Oryzias latipes: one gene and its partners. The main gene of each other region encodes a partner of the protein of the gene in region 7 in a complex. Links are inferred from orthologs where the notes say so. Each region holds a gene or a part of one and is shown on either strand. Other genes may lie near its edges.

Region 1 (4,069 bases), on a different chromosome or scaffold from region 7:
AACGCTTTCTTGACGCGTCCATGCCTGGCCGCATGGGAAGGTTACCCCCACCGTAAGAGGGACCGGGCATCTGACTCCCCATTACCCCCATAGGACCCCCCATCCTGCTGGGTGGGATTCCAGGGCGCTGGATGAAAGAAGAACAGTTTGATGAACAAAAGGGAAAAGCAGTTGGCGTGTCGTGTCGTTTGACCCACGTGAGGCTGATCTCTATTGAGTTTGATCCATTCTGTCCATTTCTGGTAGAAACACAAACCTTCAGTCTAACTCAGAGCTGATTTGGATTTTAACATTGTTAAACAAAAGAAAAGTTACTTTGAATATGTCTAAATCTTTCTTATCGATAATTTATTACAATTAAAGCAATCATTTACACTTTTTTACATTTTTGTTTCCCACCTAAATAGCTTCAAAATAAACATAAAAAGAGAAGATTGGGGCTCTTTTCTTAAAATTAACTGTATGGTTTGATGTTAGTTGGATAAAAATAGACTGGACTAATTATGGCTTATTAACTTTTATAACTAAAAACACAATAATTATAGTTTACTAACTAAGAGTTTTCATCAATAATTGGAACAAACTTTTTTAAATATGTCAATCTGAACTACAATTTAACTTTACGAGTAAAGATAAATACTTTTACAATTGAACCTTCATAGAATTTTGTTTAAACAAATAAAAAGATGCATTTCCTGCGCTCTATTAAGCACAGCAATGAGGGCCTTTCGATTCTGCTTTGTTTTTTAGTCACGGCTTCTGCAGACCTTGCAGATATTGAGATGGCCATGAACTCATTTGTAATCAGAGTACACCAAGAGCACACGAGAGCGTGAGTCGGCGAGCCAAAGCTGAGCTGACTTCAGGTCACACCACAGGGAAACGGTTAAGGTTGCGACACGGCCTGGCAAAAGTCTGGACCTCAACCCAAATGAAACACTCCAAGGAAACAAGAGCTGTAACATTTCTTAAAAGCTGAAGCAAAGCTGCAGTGAGAAACGGGCCAAGATTCCAACACAAGGATGTGAGACACAAAAGGAAACATCTGCTTCAAATCCTACCACTAAATTCATACAGAAGATGGAGCATCTTCAGCTTTGCCCCACTTTATTTACAATTTGTTGGCTTATTTTATGGAAGAAAATAATCAGTTTGTATGTGATTGCCAAATGTCCTTGAGAACTCAATTTTGACTTTGAAGACCCATTCCAATGAAAATCATGTTTGTTTGATGTTTTTAACATGTTCTTGGAGGACATACATGAATTAAATGAAGCTTAAAATGGTGTTTTTGAGTGTTTCCTTTATTCAAATCATTGTGAATCAGGCATTTGGCTCAAATCTGTACGTCTGGATGGCCCCGACGTTGCTCGCCATTTTGTTACACCGAAAATATTATGTTGGGGTTGTAAGGAACTGTTGGTGGGCGGAGCTGTTGCCAGTGGAGTAAGCCTGCCACAATTTCCCATCATCCAGGTGTTTACACTCTCTCAACTGTTCCGCCCACAACTCGGACACACGTGTCTAATGAACCACTGCTGCTGTGCAGAAACTATTTCCTAAAAACTGGGATAATCATAATCAAAACTCCACTGGGAAGGTTTTTAAAGCAGATCCAACGAGGATCGAGTGGGACTTTAATATATTTATTCAAAGTTCTTTTACTGTCAAACAATCTTATTTCCTATATGAAAAGAAAATGTGCTTTGAAGACTGGACAGTGAGTAAGTTTGACATTTTATGAACCGTTCACAGAAAAACATACATCAGAACTTTGATGGTTCTAATTTGTAGGATACAATCGGGTCCAAATGAAGCCCAGATGGTGCTGGAACAGGGATGGTATAAGTGGTCTTTGGATAGATGGTGGTGATGATAAACTTCCTTTTGTTTTCTCTAACTGACAGGAGGCCAAGGGCACCCACGTGACCCCGTTCACACTTCAACAGAGTACATTTATTCACAAAGGCCAGAATATTTAAAACCTCTACCCCCAATTAATGTTCTCTGGTGCCACAATGACACGTTAAACCCATTTGACTGATGACGGGAATTTTTTATAACCGTTTTCAATGGCGGAAGTAGTTCCATACCATGACATTTTGACAAGAATTGGCCGCTTTTTCTTGTATTGTAATAGAAATAGTTGGAGGGGAAAAAAGAAGAAGGCAATCATAAAAACAAACCTGGGCAAACTGGGGAATACTTCGGGGATAACCCGTTGGGGGCTGCAGCATTCCGGGCATTCTCATCCCCGTGGGGTGTCCGACATTCATGGGGTTCAAGTTCGGATTCATCGGAGGACCCGTGAACCCCCCTTTCGATGCCATCATCCGGAGCTACAAGTGGTTGAAAGTGCCGCGAAAAACTCCCGACGATTTACGGCCCAATAATAAGCGAGGGAAGCGAGTGTCACTTGAAAATCCAGAAATAAATAAATAAATGAGTTGGAAATAACCGTCGCCGCGTCGGTAGAAGTCTAGCTACACTGACAGGAAGCACGCTGTCAACAAAAAGCTAGCTAACATTAGCTCGGCTTTTAACAGCTCGAGTTCCGGGCTCTAACTGCTGGTTTTCTCAACACGGACGGAGCGGCGACTGTTCTTCGTCACCCCCGCCCCTGCCTGCGTTCCTTAACATGTCCAACTAACTGTCCCTCCGCATTTTAACGGGGAGGCTCACTTAAGACAATAATAACGCCCGATTTAGCAAAAAACTCGGTGTCTTTTAAACGCTTAAATATAAAAATAAATTAAAAAAAAAACGCGAATTTGTCCTGTCGTACACTCCTACATGCAATACTAAGTGGTGCCTTCACTGCCGTCTGAAATCTGAAAGTCAAACTCTTACACACGGTATCCTCGTTTTTTTTTCTCATGAACTTTTTATCGAAAGTTTTATTTTTTATTACATTCTTATAAAGTACATGCTCATAAAAGAAGCTGCAAACAAAACAAAAGTGATGGAAAGATATCACGGACTGACAAATAAACCATATCTCAAGTAATAATTTACATATAATTTGTCATGTTTAAACAAAAATAATACTTTAAATAGTTTTTAAATACATCTAAGGCAAAATAAATCAGGATTTATATTTATATTATATTATGAGATGAATGAAAACAAATTTCCTTAAGTACGCACAACAGCACCCTCTACAGGATATTAAGAGAATACGACTCAGAAAAAACATGGCCAATCATCTTGCTCTTTGGACTTGTCTTCTCTAAGGTTTATGAAAGTTCTCGCCAGAATTGCTTTCTTCCCCTTTACAATGGCATAAAATTATTATTTTTAAATTTTAGTATAGGGATTTGGAATTTCTTTAAATGAGAGTGTTAAACACATTTCTTAGGGCAAGTCAGCAATACTGACCCCAGCTAAATAACTTTTTTTCATATGTATGGCATATTAAACTAGAAATTTAATACTGTAGTCTGTATTTTATTTATATTTTTTTACAATTGACATCAGCCCTGTATAATATCAGTTTGTCCTTGGAAAATAATTAAATACATTTACCAAAAAAATTAAATAAATAAAAAAACTTAAATGCCCTCAGGGATTTAAGATGACAGTTTTTTCTGCAAAGTTTTTTTTGCAACATCTTATGGAAACATGTTTTTGTAGAATTTTACAAGATTTCTTTTTCAGCATTTTATTTAATATGAAAATTTGAGGTTTATTTGTATCTGTATGCAGAGATTACTGTCTTTTGTGAACAAAAGGCAGCTGGTTCTTCGGGAGGGTCAATTAATGAAACTTTTCAGTAGCATGAAACAAAAAATAAAAAGGTCTTTCAGTCCACCCACTCATAAACAGCTGCCCTTGAACACCCCATACAAAACAGACAAAGCAATAGAAAAGCATAACACTTTCCTACCAGATCTTATTCATAAAGTGATTCTATATTTAGGATTTTTTGCAAATAAATGATTTTACAATAATTGGAATTCATGGGTTTGAGAATCCTGTCCAGCGTTCAAAAACGCTGAAGGCCAAGTCGCAGTGATGTCACCAGAGCGAGGAAGTGTAAAGCTGGGTTCCAGCGACACTCAAACCAAGG
Region 2 (3,500 bases), on a different chromosome or scaffold from region 7:
AAATCGATAAAATGTTCAAATGTTGGACCGAGTTTCCATTTTCAAATCTTTAGTCTTATGTTCTGCAGTTTATCAGGACCTGAACACAATAGAGAGAAAATAGACACACTTGATGTTTGTGTGTGCGTAACTCTGGATTTGCAGCTCATATAGTACATGTTGTGCATATTTGTGCAATTGATTATTGACACACTCAAATATCAACAATGTACAAATACGAAATACAATTTACGCGCAACTAGAAAAGAACAGCCCCTTCAAACTAACCGGGAATTCAAAAAACGGCTCCTAGGCGTACAAATCTACGCACCCATCGCATCAGACACGCCGACAAAAGCAGGGAGCCACCAGTGCTGGAGGCCTTCAGATGTGTGCCTAGATGATGTGTTCAAATGCTGCTAGAATGCTGGGTCATCAGAGTTTTCTGATCTGCTGTTTGAACTTAGATTGTGGAAAAGCCGTTTGAAAGTTTGAAGTTGGCGTCATTTCACCTTGTGTGTGTGTAAATTGTATTTCCTATTCGACTGTACATGTGAATACACAAGAGCAAGTACACACTGGTACACATCGATGGTATTGCATGTGGTACACACACAAATGTGCAGTGAGACTAGTGTGTCTCCATAGTGCATGAGGGGATAGTGATACTTGCTACTTGCGGTCATCACTGTGGTCTTTCATGCACACCCAGCAGCCAATCAGAATGGCGTATTCAGCCGGACCGTGGTGTAAGTGTTTTTAACAGACGTTTGAGAGTCACACCACCAGGAAAGGGGAGCGCTGACAGTACAAAAACTGGTCAAGGAAACGGATGAAGACGGTGTTTTCACCCTCTCTCCCGTCATGGCGAACGGAGCGTTGAACCACTGCTCGAAGGTGCTGCAGCTCTTGAAGATGGTGGGCAGCAGGAAGTTGAGCAGAGCCCACAGCTCGGGCAGCTTGTTCTGCAGCGGCGTGCCGGTGAGGAGGAGGCGGCGGGGGGCCACGTAGTGGGTGTTCAGCACCTGAGTCAGCTTACAGTGATGGTTCTTCATGCGGTGACCTTCATCCACGATCATGTACTTCCAACGGATCTGCAAAGGGAAAAAACGGTCGTTTCATCTAAAGGAAGGAATGTTTCACGTCCGTGTTTGGTTTTTGACCGTTTTGACACATTTATCCTTCAGACGTCAGTGCAGACTTTAGTTTTAGCGGTAAATGGAACCAGAAAAAACATCTTTTTGTGTTCACAGCATTACCATATAATTATAATAATAAATGGCTTAAACTATTACTGAGGATGGTTAAAGTGATTAAAGTGATAAATACTTCACTTCCCCCCAAAAAATGATTTTTTTCTAATGAAAAATAATCTGCACATCTTTTTAACTTTTGATACTTGATCTGCAAACACTATGAAGATTTCTGAAACAGTATTATGTCCATTTTTTCTGAAATAGTGTTATTTTTAATCATAGTCAGAATTTTTCTAATGAACATAAGTTGCATATATTTTAGATAACTGATCTGCATTTGCTTCTATGTTGATTTCTAAAATAGAGTTATGTCTATTTTAAGTCATTCATCTTTGTCATGTGATTTCTTGATACTTAAGGATTCTTAATGTATTCTTTGGTAAGGCATAGATGTCTGATAGACGTCATGAACCGGATAATGATAGTTAATGTAATCAAATGGTTACAGTGGAACAGGGTTGGATTCTAGAAGTTCACTTCCTTCCTCTCTCTTTAAGCAACATTTGATTGAACGTCTAATTATCCTACGTTTAATACGTCTTTGTATGAATGGACACCTGAATTTTATGCATTATTGTTGCTTTGATTGCTTGAAATAAACCACTTCAAATCAAATCAAATGTAACCCCTCCCTGTTTATGGTTAACCCTTCATTTTAAATTATGACCCCCCCCCCCCTTAAACACCTTTTATCCACTGCATTTTCTCAAGTTCTGGCTGTGGATCAAACATGTTTGTGCTGCAGCTCCAGAGCGGTTCCCCCTGCTGCTCATGTCTCTCCACATGACATCAGATTACATTAGAACTGTGTTTTCCCTCTAGCAGCACATCTCTGATGTGGATCTTTGTGAGAGCCCCCCAGCAGCCAACAGCTCCGTCCCGTCTGAGGGCCAATCCAAGCTCTTCTGAGAGAAAAGCTGCTTGTGATTTTCACGTCAAGGCCGTGTCTGACGGCCAGCACGTCGTGATCCCTGCGTGATAAACCCAACTCAAGTGTTTCTGCCGCTGTCATTCCTGGATGTGCAGATGTACATGGAGGGTTTTGAACGACGGGTCTTTATGCCAATTCGGTTTTGAGGTATCCAGAATTTTTGGAAACATAGTTTATACGACTCTGTCGATTCTTTTAAAAGTCTACTGAAGACATTTATTTAAAAATGCTTTTAGCTGACTGTTTTTTTGTTAATTCTATTCAAAGTTTATTTTCTTTCATTTAGTTTTACATTTAATTGATTGTTAATGTGTTTTTACTGTACTGTATGGTATTGTTTTATTGTTCAGCGCTTTGTGATTTTACCTGGGAAAGGCGCCATATAAATAAAACGTACTTACTAAAAAACATACTACATACAATTACTATGTAAATCTGTGTGACTTTTGCGAGATGCATGTGTTTCTTTCCACGTGTGTCTAACAGACTTTTCACGCATGAACCACCGATGTCTAACTTTTACATCGCGTATACGGCGCACACATCACGTCTAGATGACGTCATTGACGGACGTATTTTTACGCTTACGTGTTCTTTGCGTGGTGTATTTGTACATCTTCCGTGTTTTTAACCTGATTCATTCGTGACACTTCTGTGAAAATTACACTGAAACCTTTCCCCCCTTTTTTTCCACGTCTATTCACCTGTGACCAATTTACATCGGAGCAATATGCGCCAAACGTGCATGATGGCTGCGTGACATTCTTCAGATGAGTGACATCAAGGCTTCACTCATGTGAAGAATGATATGCTTCCATTTTGGGTCAGTAAACTGTAAAACCTGTTGACTGATATTTATTCAAACATCTCAAATCAAAGCGGTGGATTTAAAAGCCGCTGGACTTCCTGAAACTTTCAGAAAACTGAAACATCCCAAAGCTGTTGGTGTACAGAATATAACTTTGATCTCCTTCACCTTGGCCAGGATGTGCTTGTCCTTAATGATGTATTCATAGGTGGTCAGCAGGACGTTAAACTTCCCGCTGCGAAGCTGAGGAACGAGCCCCCGGCGCAGAGCGGGAGTTCCCTGGAATGAGGAGGGGGCTGGAGTCAGTGAAAAGCACGGCGTCAGAGCCTCGGCTGCAAAAATCTTTTTTTTACCTTGTAAGCAATTTTGACGACAGAAGGAGCCCATTTGTCGAGTTCATAGACCCAGTTTGACAAAGTCCTGGAACCAGAACCAACACAAATCATTAGACAGTGGGGAGGGGGGGGGGGGGGGTCACCCGGGATTAAAAGCAGTTTCTGAAATGTGAAAAGGAAAGTTTAAGAAT
Region 3 (4,064 bases), on a different chromosome or scaffold from region 7:
GCTGTTTGCACACAGAGCCAGTTATTACATGGAACTCATTTAGCTGGGCTCAGTCAGGCAGGGCAGAAATATCATTAGACAGGACCTGCCACAACTGCCTCCAACACCACAGCACACACTGATCTGCATCTCCCCCTTTAACCAGCTCTCTGCTGAAGGAGATGCCTCATCCACTGCAGCTTTGACTCAAACAGTCTCCTGTGTGACTCCAAAGGACACATTCACCACTTTTAACACCGACATTTCAGGACAAACGCTCAAAAGTATGGGAGGTTCACATTGTCTTTTAAGCTAAATAAGTATTTGCAACTCCACAAATCCATTTCAGTGGCTTGCATTTAACTGAAAATAAATTCCTCTTGAGCAATCCTAAAATTCTATATTATATATAATATTTATATATAAATATTGAAGGGAAATGTGATCAAATGCAAAGAAAGCTCCCCTCACTGCTGCTCGCACTGCATTTGAAAACACGGTGCTGCCATTGATTCAAAATGCAGAAGTCCTGTGGAAAATGGGCAGAGGAGAAGGGAAAGCAAGGCAAAGAGGAAATGGTTAAACAAAGGGATGGACTGAAACAAGTGATGGATTGAGAAAGTGGCAAAGAAGGAGGGAGACGAGGAGGAAGACTGGGCAGAGGGGGTGATGGGAGGACAGAGAGGAAATCACAGGAAAAAAGGATAGAGAGTAAGAGAGATTAAATGATTCTCTAATCCAGCAGAGAGAGGCCGACTGGATGAAGCTGGTTTGCTGATATGCTTTTGCACACACATGAAACCCTCCACTGTACGTCCACACACGTCCAGCCGAGCATGAGCGGGCTGCACAGCTTGGCTGGATCCTGGGCATCAATGGGAATTAACAAACACGGAATTAATTGCAATTTACTGCTGAGACTCAGCTAGCTTTAAAGACATTTTGGGACACAACAGGCTTTGTTTCTGCCTCCGGCACGCAGCCAGCCCCCCCTGTTAGGGCTGACTTTGAACCAAGTCTTTGGTTCTTTGGCTCGATTCACAGAATGGGGGCTCTAATTTACAAGTCTCCATAACAAGTTTGTTTGCAAACATGCTAATTTCAAGAGTGTATATCAGAGCTCATTTGGTGCTTCAACCAGACCATGATAAAGTCATCTAGAGGAAAGACCTCTAAACCTGATGCAGACTTTCAGCTTTTTAAGGGTTCTGCACTGAAGGTCCAAACAGACACTTTGTCATCCCTCATTTGGACAGTCTGTGTTTTCAACACTAGGATGTAGTTCATTATCCTCTGGCCCAGCTGCCTTCTGACTTTTTTCCTCTCATTTTTCTCCTGTTGCCTCCCAGTTCTGCTGCAGACTCCTTGCAAATCAGTCAAATGAATCCCGACATGGTTTCACTGAAAGTCTCTGGGCGCAACCTGGCCACACGGTTGCTTAGCTTGGGCATGCAATGGAGGAAGAGTTGAAAGTGGAGAAGAGAAAACAGAGGAGAGCCACATCCTGAAGATTCTCCATCCCAACGTCACCTGCCCGCCTCAAAATAAACATTTAACAGTCAAATAACAGCGACTGTGTGGATGGAAATGACCCACCTGACGATTCACTCATGATTTGAACAACAAATGGTGAAATACCATCACAGCCATTCAGAGCAGTTTCTTAATTGGCAGTTCCGTCCACGCTCCAAACTGTTCGTTGATCTGGGTTTGCGTGAAATGTCGCCGGCGTGTGCGCGCCCCGGCGCGGTCTGTGCGCTCAGGTGAAGCAGCCGAGGCGCGCAGGTCTCCAGACTTTTCTTTGTTTCAAACTGCTACAGTTGGAGCGCTGTGGTGCCGGCGGGTTGGTGCCTGCGCCTTTATGCGTTATGCGGGGGAGATTAGTGCCAGCACCCGCTGACAGCCGCGCGGTGGCTACCTCTGTCTTTGGCCGGGAGCATCAGCGCGCGCCGCTGCATTCCTCCAGAAAAAGACACCCCCCCCCCCCCTCCTTCCGAATAAAAACATGTGCAAAACGGACCGTTAACGGACAAACTTTAGGGAGAAGGGGCCGCTTTAAACACGCCACCGGCTGATAATCATCTCACTCTAGGGTACAAAGCGCCGGCATCCCATTCAGATGGAGTCAGCGTGGGAGACGCAGTGTATTTACCTCCGCCTCTCCATCTCCCACAGGTCCAGTAGTTCGGCTGCAGCCGGAAAGCCGCTCCGAGCTCCGTCCTGCCTCTAAAGACGCGCGCTAACAGGTTCTGGAGGGCCATGTTAGCTCGACTCAGCCCCCAGCCTGGATCTGACCGATCTTTTGGGTTCATACACCGGCAAGGGACATGCCGGGTCACCCAGAGCTCCCCCAGCATTCCTCCATACGCGCGCGCGCTGCTGCTGGCTCGGGTACGGGATGTGAGGAACCGCAGCGCATACTCAGTGACAAAAAAAAGGACACCGACACGAAATCCCGCAAAATAGGCTAACTTTTCATTGGCATCATAATCTCGGTCTCCGCCGTTTACATCAAGCGTGTGGTGGAGCAGGATCAGAATTAGAACATAAGGAGATGACGCTGACAGCATGCTCGGATGTTAGGAGCGGAGAATGAACGGTACTCACGATTTGAGGGGGTTCTGCACCGCTGTGGCCATTTTGATATAGTGTGATAGAATGCAACACCGCAGAGCCGGTGGTTTTCTACATGTAATGTAGCATTTCAATTTCATTCATTCTCTGGGGCTGCGGCTTCAGCGCACAGCCAATGGGAGGCGGGAGCGCACCGTGGCTGCTTGTGGGAACTGTAGTTTTGGCGCACGGCGGCGCGGAGGACGGACAACAGATGATGACTACAAATACCGGCGGGGGTAGGGGGTTCCAGTGGTTCAGCGACCCGCCTCGTACTTGAAAGGTAAGCAGAGCCGTCCCTGTCCTAATGTATAGAAAAAAAGTCCAGTTGAGCCTGGTGGAGCTTCGGGATGGAGATCAGCCTCACATGTGAGGACAGAGGTCGGGACTACTGATCCCACACAGGAATCTCGAACAAAAAATAGTCTTAAAGGATTCAAACAAAACTGCATTTGGATCATTTTTTGCCTTGTGCACAGGAGGGGGTAGACATCACAGCCTGAAACACTGGAAAATCATAAAACAAGTGTGCATGATAACTTTCAGATGTGGTTGGATGCACAGAGCCGTGTCTCAAAGCTCCGAGCACCTTTAATTATTCATTAATAGATTGAGAGTGGGCATGTAATTGATTCTTTCAGACATTTGTCTGTCGTTGCCTCCTCGCCTGAGAAGTGGGAACCCCTCCAATTCGTGCTGTTCCTGTCGTCTGCTGCAGGGATGGACGGAGGGAGGCAGGAGGACGAGGGGTAGGAGCAAGGAGGCCTGGATTTGTCTTTACAGTTTGGCAGTGGAGCCACAGTAGTGGAGCCACCACTCTGAATCCAGTGACATGTGATATTTATAGATCTGTGCTAACAAATATTTAATGAACATTAGCAAGCAGCTCGAAAAGGCCCCACTGCTCAAACCAAACGCCCTGCGACAGTTTTTGTGTTATTTGTGAGGAAGATTTTCAAACAAAGGGAATGTTTTGAAGGACAATAACAAATACATCAATACTGTCCTAAATTAAACTTTATTTTATAAAAATAAACGTATTGGAAACATGAAATAATTCACAGATTTTTTTTTTTTTTTTTTTGAGTGAGGAAATCATGCCGTGATCGCTGATTTCATGAATGGCAAAGCTGCCTTTTACACTTTGACCACAGGGTGGTGCTAAAGCACTCTATCGCACAGAATGTGGGGGTGACGTCGAAGTTTACGTCCTCCTTCGCCCCGCCCTCCGTACGCACGCTCTGTTGTTGTGATTACAAGTCATGTTGAAGTTTCGTTTCTTCTCCCGCGTCCCGATTATGACATAAACACCTGAGCAGCGATGTCTGAGGTCCTGATGAAGGAAATTGAGAGAGTTTCCATGAAGCCGGAAGAGGGTCCCGGCGGCGCGCGGAGTTTCCTGTTGGTGGACGAACAGGAAAACCTGCAGGTAAAGTTAGCCGTCAACAGTTAGCCGCTAAGCTAACGGAGAA
Region 4 (3,500 bases), about 1.8 Mb from region 7:
GTAATAGTCGGGGTAGTCCTTCTTTGAGGGCTTCACCATGAAGAGGTCACACAGTCTACGACCAACGCCGGCCTCTCGCGCCTCAGTCACAGCAGCTACCAGAGCCTTCATGCGATTCTTTTTGGTATTCTTCTTATGACTAGAAAACACACAAAGCAGAATTAACACCAAGTTCTCTTCCACAATGAATGTTCAGAGAATGAAATGGGTGCAATTAACCTTTTTCTTTTCGTAGTACTGGTGTCAGACGTGGCTGAGGAGAGCATGCTGTCACCATCATCATCCTCTCTCTGTAAAAGTTCCTTCCTCTTCAGCTACACGAATAACAGGATTCAGCCATTATACTTCATGAAAAATACAAAGAAACTGATGGAAGTTAAAAAATAGTGTTCTTAAAGCCCCACTCTAATGAAAATGATGTTTTGGTGTTTTTAATATCGTCTTTTAGCATTTTGCTCATGATGGAGGACACAAAATAACATTGTCTGACTTTTAAATAATTTATTTGCAAATTATGGTGAAAAGTAAGAATTTGGTCAGCTACAAACAAGCAAAACTTCTGGCTCTCAGACCTGTAACTTCTTCTGTAAGAGGATCCTCTTTCCTCCACTCGTTACCTGTTTTAAAAGCTCCTGTTTGAACTGGTTATCTATAGAAAAGACACCTGTCCACAACCTCAGACAGTCACACACCAAACTCCACTATGATTAAGACCAAAGAGCTGTCTAAGGACACCAGAAACCAAAATGTTGACCTACACCAGGCTGGAAAGACTGAATCTGCAACAGGTAAGCAGCTTGGTGTGAAGAAATGGAAGACATACAAGACCACTGATAATCTCGATCTGAGACTCCTCGCAAGATCTCACCCATCATGCTTTGGGTCTGTTTTCAGCAAAGGGACCAGGATGACTGATCTGTGTTGAGGAAAGAATGAATGGGGCCATGTATCGTCAAATTTTAAATGAAAACCTCCTTCCATCATGACAACCATCCCAAACACGTTGCCCGGGTAACGAAGGAGTGGCTTCATAAGAAGCACTTCAAGGTCCTGAAGTGGCCTAGCCAGTCTCCAGATCTCAACCCCATAGAAAATCTTTGGAGGGAGAAGAAAGTCTGTGTTGTCCAGCAACAACCCAAAAACACCACTACTCTAGAGGAGATCTGCATGGAGGAATGGACCAAAATACCAACAACACAAGACTCACAGAAAACATTTGACTGCTGTCATTGACAACAAAGGGTATATAACAAAGCTGTACTGTTGTTATTGACCAAATACTTATTTTCCACCATAATTTACAAATAAATTATTTGAAAAAAATCAGACAATGAGATTTTAGATGAGGGAAACCATGATGAAGAGTACAGGCTTCTCTCATCTTTTTAAGTGGAAGAACCTGCACAGTTGGTGGCTGACTGAATAAAGATCAAAAGATGATTGGAGCAGAAAAACCAGACCTGCTGAATGTGCTGGAGTTTGAGCGCACGCTTGTAGATGGAGGAGTGAGGAACATTATAGCGTTTGGCGTTCTCAAACATCAACGTCAGATCTGAGTCGACGTGCTCCACGCTCGCATACTCGTTGTTCTTCATCTTGCTCCTGTGGGGAATTGAGGGTTCTCACATTTGGGAAGGGGGAGAGGGCACAGAAATACTGGACTTTACAGTGGGTGAGTATGTGTGGGGAAAATACTTCTCACGGGCAGAAATGCAAAGAAAACAAAAGAACTTTTAACTAAAAGCAACAAAAACATGAGGTAAACAAACTTCCCGGTGAACAACATCATTTTTCTTGAGAAACTTTTGTCCAACACTGAATTTGTTCCTTATTAAAATATTCTTTTAATTCCACTTATTTCCGCCATACTTGATCTGTTGCAGGCAGATGGGCTGACTGATCTGGTGGTAGTAGTCAGGATAGTCTTTCCTGGAGGGCAGCTGCAGGAAAGGCTCGGAAATCAGTTGGCCCTGACTGTTCCTGGCTCCTCGCACGGCTTCGTAAAGCTGGAAGATGGGGTTGCTCATGTCCATGTTTGATGTCATGCTCTCCGCTTCAGATTCCCCCTCATCATAGTGGACAGAGCCTGACAAATGCAGGAACAATAAACACGGGATTTCACAAAATAAAGAAGCATCATCAATGTCTGAGAAAAACTAAGTCCATTTACGAAAGAGGAGCAAAGGTACCAGATAGTATTCCCTCCTCGTCACTCTCATACTGAAGTGCCATGGTGATGGCGGAGAGGCGATCCCCTTGAGTTGACTTTCTATTCCTTACAGAGAACACGTTAGAAAAGGTCAAACCAAAATTCGCTGAAGTTCCCGCCGACGTTGTTTAAAGAGGTCGTTGTGGTCCAAACCTGATGCGGATGCTGGATTTGACAGGTTCCCCGTGCTCCAGCTCAGACTTCTTCTGTGCAAAAATCTTTTTAATCGTGTTAGCGTCCTAGCAGACAAAATACCAGGAACACGTGTGAAAGGTCGGACGGACACTATGCAGCACATAAGATTCTCAGAAACATACCTTAAAAACCTGTGACCCCGGCTCATTGTACGCTTTAGCGTTCTTCACCAACAAGTCTATGTCTTTTGCCATGGCAGCACAACTCCTGTAGTGACCCAACTAGAACAAAAAATTTACTTGATGTGGATAAAAACAGCAAAAACTTCGTCACACCCAGACAGCTCCGTTGGAACCGGTACCTGGATCTTCTGAGCGATGGTTTTCAGATCTATCGGTTCTTTGATGACGGCGTAATAGTCTGGATATTGCTAAACAAAAGAGAGACTTCAAATTAGAGTAAAGACTCCTAACATATGAATTGTCGGGGTCCCATGTACCATTTTGGAGGGAAGCTTCTGGAACAGCTCACTGACTAGGCGTCCCGTTGGTTCGGTATAAGACACGACAGCATCAAGAAGCTGCTCTAGGACATCCTTTAAGCAGGAAGGTGTCGTCTGAGTTAGAATGAAAGGGATCAGATTTATGGAAATGCCTTGGTTCATCAGCTTCATCATCCTTTTGACTGGAGACATTTTCTACTACAACACAGAGGCCTCGAAGTGCAAATCAGATCAATGAATCACTCAGCACTCAAACATATTAAAGAACACAATGACAGTACAAAAGCAAAACAAATAATCAGAAAAAGCACTACATTTTAGAAATCCAAACAAATAAGGAAACAAACTAAGAAACTGGAAAAGGCAGACACAATGGGATGTCACTGATTGGTTGATCATGTTTGAGCTTTGAAGAAGAGGGAAAGCAGAAGGATGTTTTACCTGAACTGTGGTAAAAGGTTGATTGAACTTTTGCAGTGATTGTGGTCAGAAGCTTCTGCCTGTGGATACCGCCATCACAAATAACATAGGTTGAAAAGGCAAACAAACGTCATCATCCAATCAGTGCTCCATGTCCCAGAATATCTACCTTTTCCATTTTCTAATTTGGTTTAATTGGTTGAATGTTGTAAACCCTTTAACCCCTTGTTTTCC
Region 5 (3,500 bases), on a different chromosome or scaffold from region 7:
TTATTTTATTTCAATCCCATAAGCGGGTTTATTCAGATTTAGTCAGGCGTTGCTTAATCCTCTTGCCTCTAAGCATTAAAACTCAATGTGCTTTTCTTTGTTTTGCTTTCAGGGCAATAAAATTTACCAGGAAACGTAAACTTACATCGTCTTTTTGCAAACCTATTTGTAATCTACGGTAATATTTTAATTTTTTTGCTGCATGTTCCCCATTTAAGGTCACAGGGTTGCTGGAGCCTGTCCTTGCTACAGTTGGACAGAGGCGGGGTACGCCCTGAACAGGTCGACAGTCTTTTATTTTGAAAATTTGAACGGATTTGGTCTTCCTGCCTGAAAGACATCAAACAGTGGTGATGCACCCTTTCTAAGCTTTCAGCTTTTGTCTTATTTAAAGACATTTTAAACTTTTACATTTTTACATGTTTTGATTTTATTCTTTTATTTATTGGCCGCTTTTAATTGCTGCTACTCAAAATGAGCGAACCAAAAAATAAAGCTCTAAAGAGTCATACGAACATTGTTCTTTGGTTCTCCAGGGGGGGAAAAAACATTTTTATTATCAATCACAGTGGATTAAAATAAATAAACAACACTTAAAAACAAATACCTGAAAGAGTTTTATAAATTATTCTTAAACTTTCAGACAGATCAGATGTTGGAACAGATTTGATCTTTAAATCAAATTTGTGGCAAAATAAATAAAATGATAAGAATCAAAAGCTTTTCTGTGCGGCGTCTTCGAGCGAGCTGGACTTCCCCGCAGCGCCGTCACGTTCCACGACCTTTTCCTTTCTGGAAACATTATTTTTATCAAGTTTCGTCCAAACCTCCCCAGTTACCGCCGTGGAGGCCGGACCGACCCCTCCCCCTGATGAAGGCAGACCTTTTTTTCCATTAACACCGGAGCGAACGGCTGCATACAAGGCTGTTTAAGCGTGAGTCTTTTAGAAACAACCAGCGGCTGCCCTTCACTCCGCATCACCGCAGAAATCTGCTTTTTGTTTAAAAAAAATCCACTGGAGGAGTTTCAGAGCGAACGTGACGGCTTCTCAAGGTTCCTCTTTTCAGCCGGCCGCTCGGGTGCTGCTCTCTCAATGACTCAGTCCAAAGAATGTTGTTTCCACCTTGAGATACAAATAATCAGCAGGCCCCCCCCTATAGGCTGAAGAGCCGGGTCCCCCCCTCCCCTCCTCTGAATAGACTCATCTTCAGAGCTTTATTAAAATGTTCTTTTTCATCATTTTCTCCCCTCTTTGTCAGATAAACAAAGATTTGGCCGACGATCCCGCATGCATACATACAAAAAATATCTAATATTTAAATAATATATATTTAAATATATTCCCTACATAAATCAAGGTTTTTGTCTTTGTTATAAACTTTTAACCTTACCCAAAATGGGATAATTCCAAGTTTCTCTGATGGAAATATTAGGATATCTTTGAAATTTAATCTTCAAATTCAATTAAAATAAGTAAAAAATCCTTTATTGAGGATAAATGTTGCAATAATTCTTTTATTCTTGTCAAATAATTAAAGAATTTTAATTTGGATTGATGGTAAACGCTTGGCACATGATATTCTTAATTGGATTTTCAATTAGTTTCATTTTATAGTTTGTGGGTGTGCGCCAAAGCCTCCCAGCCAGCTCTCGTTTGAAAAACAGGGACTTCCTGGTTAAATAAATATTCAGCCAAAAGGAACTCGTCTGATGTTGCTTGAATTTGTCCTACAGAAGTTCTTTCTTCCTCTTAATCCTCCCGTTTCTGGCTCAGGCTTAACCACGTCTGTTAATCTACATTTTGTGTGTATTTCTGTGAAAAACACCCTAAATGTAAAGCAATATTGCTCTTTTTGGTGCTTAAATTTTCCAACGTCATGGTTTTTTTGTTGTTGTTTTTGTTATTCTGCTCTTAAAAATGTATAAAAATATTTCATTTTAAATTGCTTTCTGATCTGATCATCGTTTACTCTCCTAAACTTCCAAGTCAGTCCTTTTACATTATGATAAATCTAAAATATTTATGTTTAACATCTGACATTCTGTTAGGATTTTCTGCTCGATTCGTCTCAGTTTGTAATTTTTCTTCTTCCGCATTGCGAGAGCTGTTGGATCATTTAAATCCGTTAAAAATGAATGAATTTCTCCTAATTGGTGGAAAAAAGATTTATCATGGCCGGGATATCAGCTCTATTTTATTCCGACTTTTTCCTTTTTGTTTATTTACTATATTTGAGATTCTTTAATAGGAATGACTGTATATTAATACATTTATGTACGCTTTTGGTTGGTGGGATACCTTAGGAAAAAGTGAACTTTGGTTGAAAAACATTGATCTAAATAGTTAATAAGAGGTGATCTGCCTATATTTTCTAACTTCTTTCTAATCTCCAACATTTAAGTCTTCATTTTTTTTAGTGAAAATGGTATTTTACTCCACAACTCAGAGATGAACTTCTAATGAACTCCTCCTGCCGCTCTGCAGAAACTATGACCTTGAAAACCACACGTTTGTTGATTTTGCTAATAATGGTAATCAAAAGACCTTTGGGGGTGGTTTGAGAATAGATCCAAAAAGGATTCAAGTGGAACTTTGAAGAAACGTAACAGAGTTTATCCTGTTCGTAATGAATCCATTAGTTGTAATCACTTTAATGCAAATGTCTGCTGGCAACCTTCATGACAAAAACCGCCAAACGCTCCACTCCAGCTCACCTGCTGGTCGCCTACCTGCCGTTTCAGTGGCACCGCACGCCCACCACCCAGGAGACGGACGGCTTCCAGGTGAAGCGGCCGGGCGACGTGAGCGTGCGCTGCACGCTGCTGCTGATGCTGGACTACCAGGTGAGGGGCCGCAGACTCCACGCCGCCTGCATGTCTGAGGGCGCCGCGCCGAAGGCTTGAACGTGCGTGAAAAGCCGAGTAACGTGATGACCTGGCCTCCACAGCCCCCCCAGTTTAAGCTGGACCCTCGCCTGGCTCGCCTGCTGGGCATTCACACGCAGACCCGCTCCTGCATCATCCAGGCGCTCTGGCAGTACGTGAAGACCAACAAGCTGCAGGACTCCCACGATAAGGAGTACATCAACTGTGACAAGTACTTCCAGCAGGTGCGTGACGTCATAATGCAACAAGATCCCACCAGTTTGACCCTTTTTTAATTGTTTTTCATGAATTTAACTGATATTCCTCAAGACAAATATGCAAAAAGCTGAACGTTTTTTGGCTCTGCTATCATCCGTTATGGATAAATGATTTAGAGGATCTGCAGAAATGGCTGTTTGGTGGTTTTCCTGCAGTAAAAAAACATTCATGATTATTAATGAGCACAGAAACGCACTAAAGCGGATGGAGACCACCAGGAGGAAGAACTCGGTCTGGATGGATGAAAACAGGGCTAAGAGTCCTTTTTTTTTTAACTTCTCAGAAATCTGGGATGCTGCATCCTCTACAGAGAAGAGACCACCCAGCCGGTTATCAGCCTGTGATTCAAACTCTT
Region 6 (2,870 bases), on a different chromosome or scaffold from region 7:
CTACCACCGCAATGCAAGATGATCAAAATAAAACTAACCCTCCATTGAAGGCGTATGGTGAAAACCGATGTTCCGTGGGTCCCGCATAATGGTATTCTTTCATCTTTCCAGATTCTCCAAAATTCTGAGCTGAAAGCATTTTTAAACCAAGATAGCCAACAGATTGGAGATTTCAGCCGGGCAAACTCGCTGTATCACTGCAATATGGCAGACTCTTCTTCGCCGGTAAATGAGTGACCACATATGGTGTGCGCGACAGCGCCTCTACAGGCGCATAGATGTAACATCAGAACAGGCTCTATATTTAAAATGTTGCCTGCACAAGTCGTTTGATTATTTATTTTTCAAAATACAATAAATGGACTAATTTTATATAACAATATACAAGTACATATATGTAACAAACTGTATTGTACACTGCATCTTATTTATTAACACACAAACATTTCTGAAAAGTTTGTTTTTGATTAAAAGAAAGTCAGATAAATCTGATACAGATAATTTATTTATATTTTAATTTTGTCAGCTGAGACTTGAAAACAGAAACCAAGCAAAACAGTTGGTCCAAAGAACAATCACATTTTTTATATAGAACACTTATGTCACTATATGATTTGCTATAGGAATCCAGAAGTGTAATAGATATTAATTACATGGCCATTGCTTTTACAAAATCATAAAATCACAAACAACTATATTTCCTCACTAAATTGTCAAAATTGTGATTTTATCTAATACACAAGACACAAAAAGCCTTTTAAAGGAAACTTTTATTCTAAAAAAAAAGAAGAAAAAAAGAAAAACAAACCAAAAACACTGCAGTGAATAAACATTAGTTGAAATTCTCATTTTGTAACTCATTAATTCCAGGATGATGCAAAAGAAATAAATTAAAAAAGAAATATAAAAAATACCTACAGATTCAGTCTTAGAGTACTTTTTTTAAGTTCGATTTTTTTGTAAAACTACGAAAAACAAAAACCACAGAAAATTCACTTCGAAAACCAAGAAACTTAAGCAGACAGACAGAACACATAGTTTTTCCTTGTTCACTTAAAATAGGCGTACAGGATCAGAGAACCCATTTATTTAATGCAAATTTCACAGAATTTGAACAAAAATGATCATACATTACGAAACCCACAAGCGTACAAAAAGTTGTTCGACCAAAGCCCTGTTTTAAACTAACTATCAGTAGTACGTAATGAAGAGCACCATTTGCTGACCTGAAATAAAGTTCCCAAAGAAATGCTTGGAACCCCACAGGGTAACTTATTGGTTTTCTGCAGTAAAATTGACTCAAAGGTGTATGGTATAGTAAAAAAACAACACTGTTTGTACGTCGACATCACAGAGAAACAAGCAAGTAAGTATTTGGCTTTTTTTTTTTTAAAGAAAATTTGTTGATTTTAAATCATAATTCCTGCTTTAGTCATATAAAAGAATGAAAGTGTGGACACAAGATCTAGAATTTGTAATTATTTTACATTGTTATGTTTTCTTTTGTCAAACTGAATGCTTAATTGTAATCTTACTTCAACAACAGTCTTGGAATAAATAAATGACTAAATCATAACTTTTTGGCTGACTTGGACTTTTTAGGTGTTTTGCCCCCTCCTTTCTTCTTGGGTGTAAAACCCTGGTCGCAAACTTCACACACCCAAAGACCTGGAAAAACAAAAAAAAGTATTAAACAATAAAAGAAAACAAAGAGATAATAAAAAATAAATGCGTTTCCCCTCTCCCTTTTAGTGTGCCGATGCTTGAACATCGTTGGTTCGAACCCATCACTCTCCTCAGCAGCTCACCTGTAGGTATGGAGTTCATGCCAACGCAAAAAGTGTGGTATCCTCTGTCGCACTTGTCACAGAACATCATCTCGTCCTCGTGGTGGGGCTGCTGGCACACGGTGCACGTTTTGCATTCCATGCACTGCCAACGATACGTCTGGATCACGGACACCAGCTCAGAGCTCATGTCCAAGCAGGACGGGTGACCTACAGTTTATGGATGCGAGTGAAAGTGTGCAGGAGCCAGGAGGCCGCAGACACACACGGTCAAATAAATGAGCACTGTGTGCTCAGACACAAGCAGGCGAGCAACAGGGACAGACTGATAGATATGCAAATGTGGTCAAAGCTGTACACAGGGCTCCCTTAGTCACATTTTATGATTATTATTATTCGGATAACATTTAAATTCCCAGCTAACAATCCTCAAAAGTTTAATAATTAAAGAAAATAATGTATACAACTTTAAAAAAAGTAGAGATAAGAAACTGCTTATTTGAGAAAAAGGTACAAAATCAGCACAAATATGATTTTGCCGCTGTAGATTCTATGAAATTGGAAATGACAGCGTTTAACTTATAAACAAAACATACATTAAAACGATCCAAAGGAGGAGAAGTCCTTTAAAAATGTAGGATGTAAACTTACCGCTGTTATCACATTGGGAGCAGTGAATGAGAGCTTCAGGCCTGCCTTTCTTGTTGGACTCTTTACCCTTCTGGCAAATGCCACATATAGCATTGGGAATGACTTTAGGCTGCAAGGGCAGAATAATGCTATAATAAACATTACACAGGGGCATCCTAGAGTCATGGAAAGAGGGTTAAATACAGTAAAGGGTACGAGAAGCAACAGCGCTTCATCTGGACCAACAAGCCCCCTTTTTCTGCAGTTTAGAAGGAATACTGGGCATTAAGCAGAGGAAGTCTGAGTCAAAGAAAAACAAATTGCAGTGTTGCAGAATACTAGAGACATGAATCCCACAGTGCACAAGAGTTCTATGTTTTACTAAATCAAATAGTGACCAACATACTTTACTCCAGATCTCAGTATAAGTTCTGTCAAGGAAAGTAGGTGGAC
Region 7 (4,226 bases):
CCCATTCCTCTGAAAGATAAAAAAGGGGTTGGAGTTAGAATAGCATGTTGAAGAAGAAACATCCATCCAGCAGTCCAGTTCCAAGTCCTCACCTTCTTCTAGACTGGCAGGGATGGGAACCACAATATGGGAGCTGTTTGATTTGTCCTCCGCCACTGAGCCCTGCAAATCAGGAAAAGAGTGTAAATCATATGTATTCACAGGTTTAAACCCATAGGAGCCCTAAAAATGAAGCAACACCTACTTGAGGTGTATGGCATAACATTCACATGACAAACACACCTGATGCCTTTTGATGATGTCTTTCAGTTTCCCCAGCAGCTTTGGATCGATGTCAGAGCTCAGGTAGATGACTGGTCGTGACAGACAGTGGTTCTGGAAGGAGTACATTTAAAAAACACATGACCATTACAATGTAAATGCTGTTTTCCTCTCAGCATAACATCTCTGCTTCTGCAAATAAAGACACTGCACGAGCCCTGAAGTCCTTGGGTTGGACAACGAAAGTCACATCACAAAGATTTTGTCATTAAAATCCTGCTCCGATCATCTTCTGATGTATTTTCAAAGCGTTCCCAGCGGTCTTCTAATTATGATGATGCACCTTTTGGCCAAAATCTAAAAACAAGTGTCATTTTTTTAGGACATAGTTTCAGCAGAGCGGCAGGAGTTCATTAAAAATTTACATCTGAGTTGTAGGGAGTAAGCCTGCCTCTACTTCCCATCATCCCTTTGTTTACACTCTCTCCTGCTAGCTTTCAGCCCCTTATAGCCAAACCTAACATTATCAGTGCAACAAAAATGGTGAGCAACATCAGAGCTATCCAGCCATCCAGTTTTGATCCAGATTCCAGCTCAGGCGAGGAGAACAAAGACGTTCATGGGTCTATTTGTCTGCAGGTGGATGCATCAGAATGGAGCAAAGCAGGAAGATTTTGACCCAGCCAGCATATTTTCTACGTCACAAACAAGATCTTTTTCGAACTGCTTTTTTTTTTTTTGTATTTTACAAATATTGGAGTAAAGAAATATTCAATTTTAATCTCAATTTTCTTTATCTATGTGCTCCATCATCAGAAAAATGCCACAAGAACATGTAAAAAAACAACTACAACACAATTTTCATTGGAGTGGAACTTTAAAGAATAAACAAACTGGTTCTGCAAATATTCAAAAATTCTGAAGCCACCAAACAAAAACATGAAATCTCTCAATGTTTTTTTTATCATTAATTCAGACTTGCATAAAAAACAATAAACGTGGATCGTTTTTCTGAATATAAATACACATAAATAGTTTCATTCAAACTGAATCAAATCCTTAATTCTAAATTAAACCTAATTGTAAAAGGTAAATAATTGACAGTTTTTAATAATAATAATAATAATTTAGAGATTTGAAGATATTAGAAAATAAACACTTTTGCAAGTTGTGTAGAAGGTAACTATTCATGAAGAACGATTGCTGAAACAAACTCACCTGCACCAGAGATTTTTCAATCGTCATAAACATCTCAACGTTTCGGTCCATCCTCGATGGATTCTGGAAGTCAAACCTGCGCCTACCAGGAAATTAGACTGGAGTTACACACGAAACTCAAACCCGGCCAAAATCCAGTTGAGACCTTTGATTCTTCACTGGATTAACAGGTCTAATCCTCAAAACATCCGCTAGAAAGAAGCCCCTACCATCCTTGATCACTTTTGAACTTGTAGGCTGCAGCCAGGATGTGACACAGAGCCCCCCCAGACTTAAAGTCCAGAAAACATTTCATCTGCAGAAAGAGGGAAAATGCTTCAAATAATAGGTTACAGAGGACAAAAAGTGAAGCATCATTACATTGAGGAAGATGATGAGTATTGAGAAGCAAATACCGGCAGCTTGGTGAGTGGGGGGTTGCTGACATGTCTGCCAAACACCTCCTCTTGGAACTGCAGCAGCTGGACCACCAGGCTGGACAGAGACTTGTTGGTGGGAGGCTCAGCCTGGATGTACTGGACACAAAACGCAAAGTTAGGAATACACCAAACACTAAAACACAGCATTTCTGGTAGACATAGTTCTATGGCTGATATGCCGCATTCACGTAAACTCTGGAAATGTCAGTGCTTTTATTTTCACCCATGAAAAAGAGCTCTAATTAAAAACATCAATCATTCAAATATTTGTAAAAATAATAATAATAATAACAGTCTACTTCATGATTAGTACTTGAGAGGTCTTCGTCAAGTCAGAGCTCCTAGTTGAGGCCCGCCAGCTGTTATTCAAGACAGACGTGCCTCTGAGCCAACATCTGGATCTGCGCTGCTTCACCGTTAGCCGAGCAGCTAACTAGCCAGCTAGCAGGCTAAAGTCATGTATTTTCTTTATAGAAAACAAATCCGTCCACCGAGTAAGAGTCGCGCGCTGCCTTTGTGGCAGTTTATCTGCAGTCACGTGTATCCGCAGAACGCCTGAAGCGCGCGCTTGTGCTGCAGCTGTTTGCTCAGCATCCTTTTGTATCCCAAACAGCTGGACGCTGAGCGGCAGCAGCAGCAGCAGCAGCACCCTCCCTCCTCTCTTTGTCACTGCCTCTGCCCACTGGGTAAGTGCCCACATTTGAGGGTGAAAAGGAGAACTCTGTGAGCATGCGCACAAAAACAAGCCCACAGTACCTTTTTGTAATTCTTTCCCAACCAGACGCGGACATTATCAAACTGAGAAACGGTGTCAGATGCTTCGAAATATTTAACATTCGGGCCGCCGTCTTTCTTCCGCACCGCCATCTTTGCCTGCAGACAACTGTCGGTGTTGCGCGCCTCCTAGTGGACGCAGTTAGTCCCTGCAGCTGCTTGAACAAGTGTCCTGTAATGAATGCCCGCATCCAGCAGGTGGCGGAATGGTGTAGAGAATGTTGGCTTCCTTCCTTGTACATTTCCATTGTTAAAAAACAAAAACAGTGTATTGTTTATAAAAGCATTTCTCCTTTGCGTTGGTCATCCATACCTACTTTAGACTAAGTCTTCCCAACCTATGAAGCAGATCCCCCAGACTCAGGGTTTTCCAAAATAAATTAAACGTTTTTCCATAGTAGAATTTCTAGAATCTGTCTGATACAACAACTTTGATACCTCTCTTTAAGGTGGTGTCCCATCTCCCTCTGTCGCTTCAGTAGCAGTCCAAGTAGCAGGATCTATCTGGAAGTCCTTCATATCTCTTTTAAAAACATCTTTATATCTCAAGCGAGGTCGGAAAATTGGTCATTTGACATCTTCCAGGACACTGTGCAGAATGCAGCGAGGAAGGTGACTAATGGCAGAGATGAAGATGAAGAAACCTTCAAGCTGTGACATGTTAAACCACCTTTGGTCGTCCTGGGACTGATGAAGGGCCTCTCTTGTCCAGAAAGCATCTGGATCAGATGGGAAGCCTGGCTGATACGTCATAGATGGGTTGTGGGTGCAGGGGTTACCTTTTGAAATTGGGTCACCAGTGTCAAACGCCTGTGAAATCATAGGGCCCCAGCTCAATGTGTGATGACTGACCAGTAGCTTTGAATGCTTGCACGTCCTTTGGAATCAAACTAGAAACCAGGCTGAGCTTCTACCCATGTAACCTCTGCTAACCACAGTATATATGCTTGAACAAGTATAGTCTGAACAGTCACTTTCACCAAAGTAATCCCATTTTTAGACACATTCAGATTGTTCTTTTTTTACTGAAAATCTTGTTGTATGCATCTTTACGAATACTGTCCTCTGGTGCATTCTTGACAGTTTGAAAGACGTCCTCTAAAGAACACAAAACCACCATTAATGCACCTTTTGTATTATTTTATATGTTATATAATTACCCTATTTATCAAGAAAAATGGCAGCTGGTTTATATTTTGGGACCGTGACATGATTAGCTGTGTGAAAGTCGTCTGCTAAAAGGTCTGATAGGCCTCTAGGCATTGATGTCAATATGATGCATATCCATTGAAATAGCCACAATTAAGACATCTAACAGATGTGTCTGTGAAATGTTTTGCTCTGTACTAACAGAAAAATAAATCAGGACTTAAATGATCGGTTATATGAAAGCAGTAAGTGTCCTGTGGCAGTGTTTCCTTAAAAAACAGTACCTCCAAAAATGCTTAAGTTCCAAAGATTGTTTTTCTTTGAAACGACAGACAATACTTACAGCTCAGCTAAACCTTATAAGAAAAGTATTGAGTGATGTTAACATGATTGATGTTTTAACAA

The links.
Region 1: smarcc2 (region 7) and SWI/SNF-related matrix-associated actin-dependent regulator of chromatin subfamily D member 2 share a complex: the UniProt entries of both Homo sapiens proteins name them as parts of the BAF complex. The link is inferred for Oryzias latipes from reciprocal best matches to the Homo sapiens genes SMARCC2 and SMARCD2.
Region 2: smarcc2 (region 7) and probable global transcription activator SNF2L2 share a complex: the UniProt entries of both Homo sapiens proteins name them as parts of the BAF complex. The link is inferred for Oryzias latipes from reciprocal best matches to the Homo sapiens genes SMARCC2 and SMARCA2.
Region 3: smarcc2 (region 7) and dpf1 share a complex: the UniProt entries of both Homo sapiens proteins name them as parts of the neuron-specific chromatin remodeling complex. The link is inferred for Oryzias latipes from reciprocal best matches to the Homo sapiens genes SMARCC2 and DPF1.
Region 4: smarcc2 (region 7) and pbrm1 share a complex: the UniProt entries of both Homo sapiens proteins name them as parts of the SWI/SNF-B (PBAF) chromatin remodeling complex. The link is inferred for Oryzias latipes from reciprocal best matches to the Homo sapiens genes SMARCC2 and PBRM1.
Region 5: smarcc2 (region 7) and smarcd3 share a complex: the UniProt entries of both Homo sapiens proteins name them as parts of the BAF complex. The link is inferred for Oryzias latipes from reciprocal best matches to the Homo sapiens genes SMARCC2 and SMARCD3.
Region 6: smarcc2 (region 7) and phf10 share a complex: the UniProt entries of both Homo sapiens proteins name them as parts of the neural progenitors-specific chromatin remodeling complex. The link is inferred for Oryzias latipes from reciprocal best matches to the Homo sapiens genes SMARCC2 and PHF10.

What each region holds. Positions count from the first base shown.
Region 1 is NC_019877.2:6,918,582-6,922,650, forward strand, and holds the start of SWI/SNF-related matrix-associated actin-dependent regulator of chromatin subfamily D member 2, read right to left. Parts: upstream 2,801-4,069; 5' UTR 2,334-2,800; coding exon 2,187-2,333; intron 128-2,186; coding exon 1-127. UniProt on the Homo sapiens protein: Involved in transcriptional activation and repression of select genes by chromatin remodeling (alteration of DNA-nucleosome topology).
Region 2 is NC_019867.2:1,033,582-1,037,081, forward strand, and holds part of probable global transcription activator SNF2L2, read right to left. Parts: intron 3,395-3,500; coding exon 3,328-3,394; intron 3,254-3,327; coding exon 3,143-3,253; intron 1,074-3,142; coding exon 831-1,073; intron 1-830. UniProt on the Homo sapiens protein: ATPase involved in transcriptional activation and repression of select genes by chromatin remodeling (alteration of DNA-nucleosome topology).
Region 3 is NC_019871.2:18,133,786-18,137,849, reverse strand, and holds the start of dpf1 (zinc finger protein neuro-d4), read right to left. Parts: upstream 2,801-4,064; 5' UTR 2,694-2,800; coding exon 2,587-2,693; intron 1-2,586. UniProt on the Homo sapiens protein: May have an important role in developing neurons by participating in regulation of cell survival, possibly as a neurospecific transcription factor. Belongs to the neuron-specific chromatin remodeling complex (nBAF complex).
Region 4 is NC_019863.2:2,537,331-2,540,830, reverse strand, and holds part of pbrm1 (protein polybromo-1), read right to left. Parts: intron 2,961-3,500; coding exon 2,844-2,960; intron 2,775-2,843; coding exon 2,706-2,774; intron 2,626-2,705; coding exon 2,527-2,625; intron 2,449-2,526; coding exon 2,363-2,448; intron 2,276-2,362; coding exon 2,190-2,275; intron 2,087-2,189; coding exon 1,870-2,086; intron 1,603-1,869; coding exon 1,461-1,602; intron 315-1,460; coding exon 220-314; intron 140-219; coding exon 1-139. UniProt on the Homo sapiens protein: Involved in transcriptional activation and repression of select genes by chromatin remodeling (alteration of DNA-nucleosome topology). Required for the stability of the SWI/SNF chromatin remodeling complex SWI/SNF-B (PBAF).
Region 5 is NC_019878.2:21,175,141-21,178,640, forward strand, and holds part of smarcd3 (SWI/SNF-related matrix-associated actin-dependent regulator of chromatin subfamily D member 3), read left to right. Parts: intron 1-2,743; coding exon 2,744-2,845; intron 2,846-2,949; coding exon 2,950-3,111; intron 3,112-3,428; coding exon 3,429-3,500. UniProt on the Homo sapiens protein: Involved in transcriptional activation and repression of select genes by chromatin remodeling (alteration of DNA-nucleosome topology).
Region 6 is NC_019861.2:24,490,012-24,492,881, forward strand, and holds the end of phf10 (PHD finger protein 10), read right to left. Parts: intron 2,548-2,870; coding exon 2,439-2,547; intron 1,998-2,438; coding exon 1,809-1,997; intron 1,669-1,808; coding exon 1,571-1,668; 3' UTR 501-1,570; downstream 1-500. Other genes in the region: psmb1 (proteasome subunit beta type-1), read right to left, coding at 39-139. UniProt on the Homo sapiens protein: Involved in transcription activity regulation by chromatin remodeling. Belongs to the neural progenitors-specific chromatin remodeling complex (npBAF complex) and is required for the proliferation of neural progenitors.
Region 7 is NC_019863.2:4,304,330-4,308,555, forward strand, and holds the start of smarcc2 (SWI/SNF complex subunit SMARCC2), read right to left. Parts: upstream 2,801-4,226; 5' UTR 2,766-2,800; coding exon 2,655-2,765; intron 1,995-2,654; coding exon 1,875-1,994; intron 1,775-1,874; coding exon 1,689-1,774; intron 1,562-1,688; coding exon 1,480-1,561; intron 376-1,479; coding exon 283-375; intron 163-282; coding exon 93-162; intron 10-92; coding exon 1-9. UniProt on the Homo sapiens protein: Involved in transcriptional activation and repression of select genes by chromatin remodeling (alteration of DNA-nucleosome topology).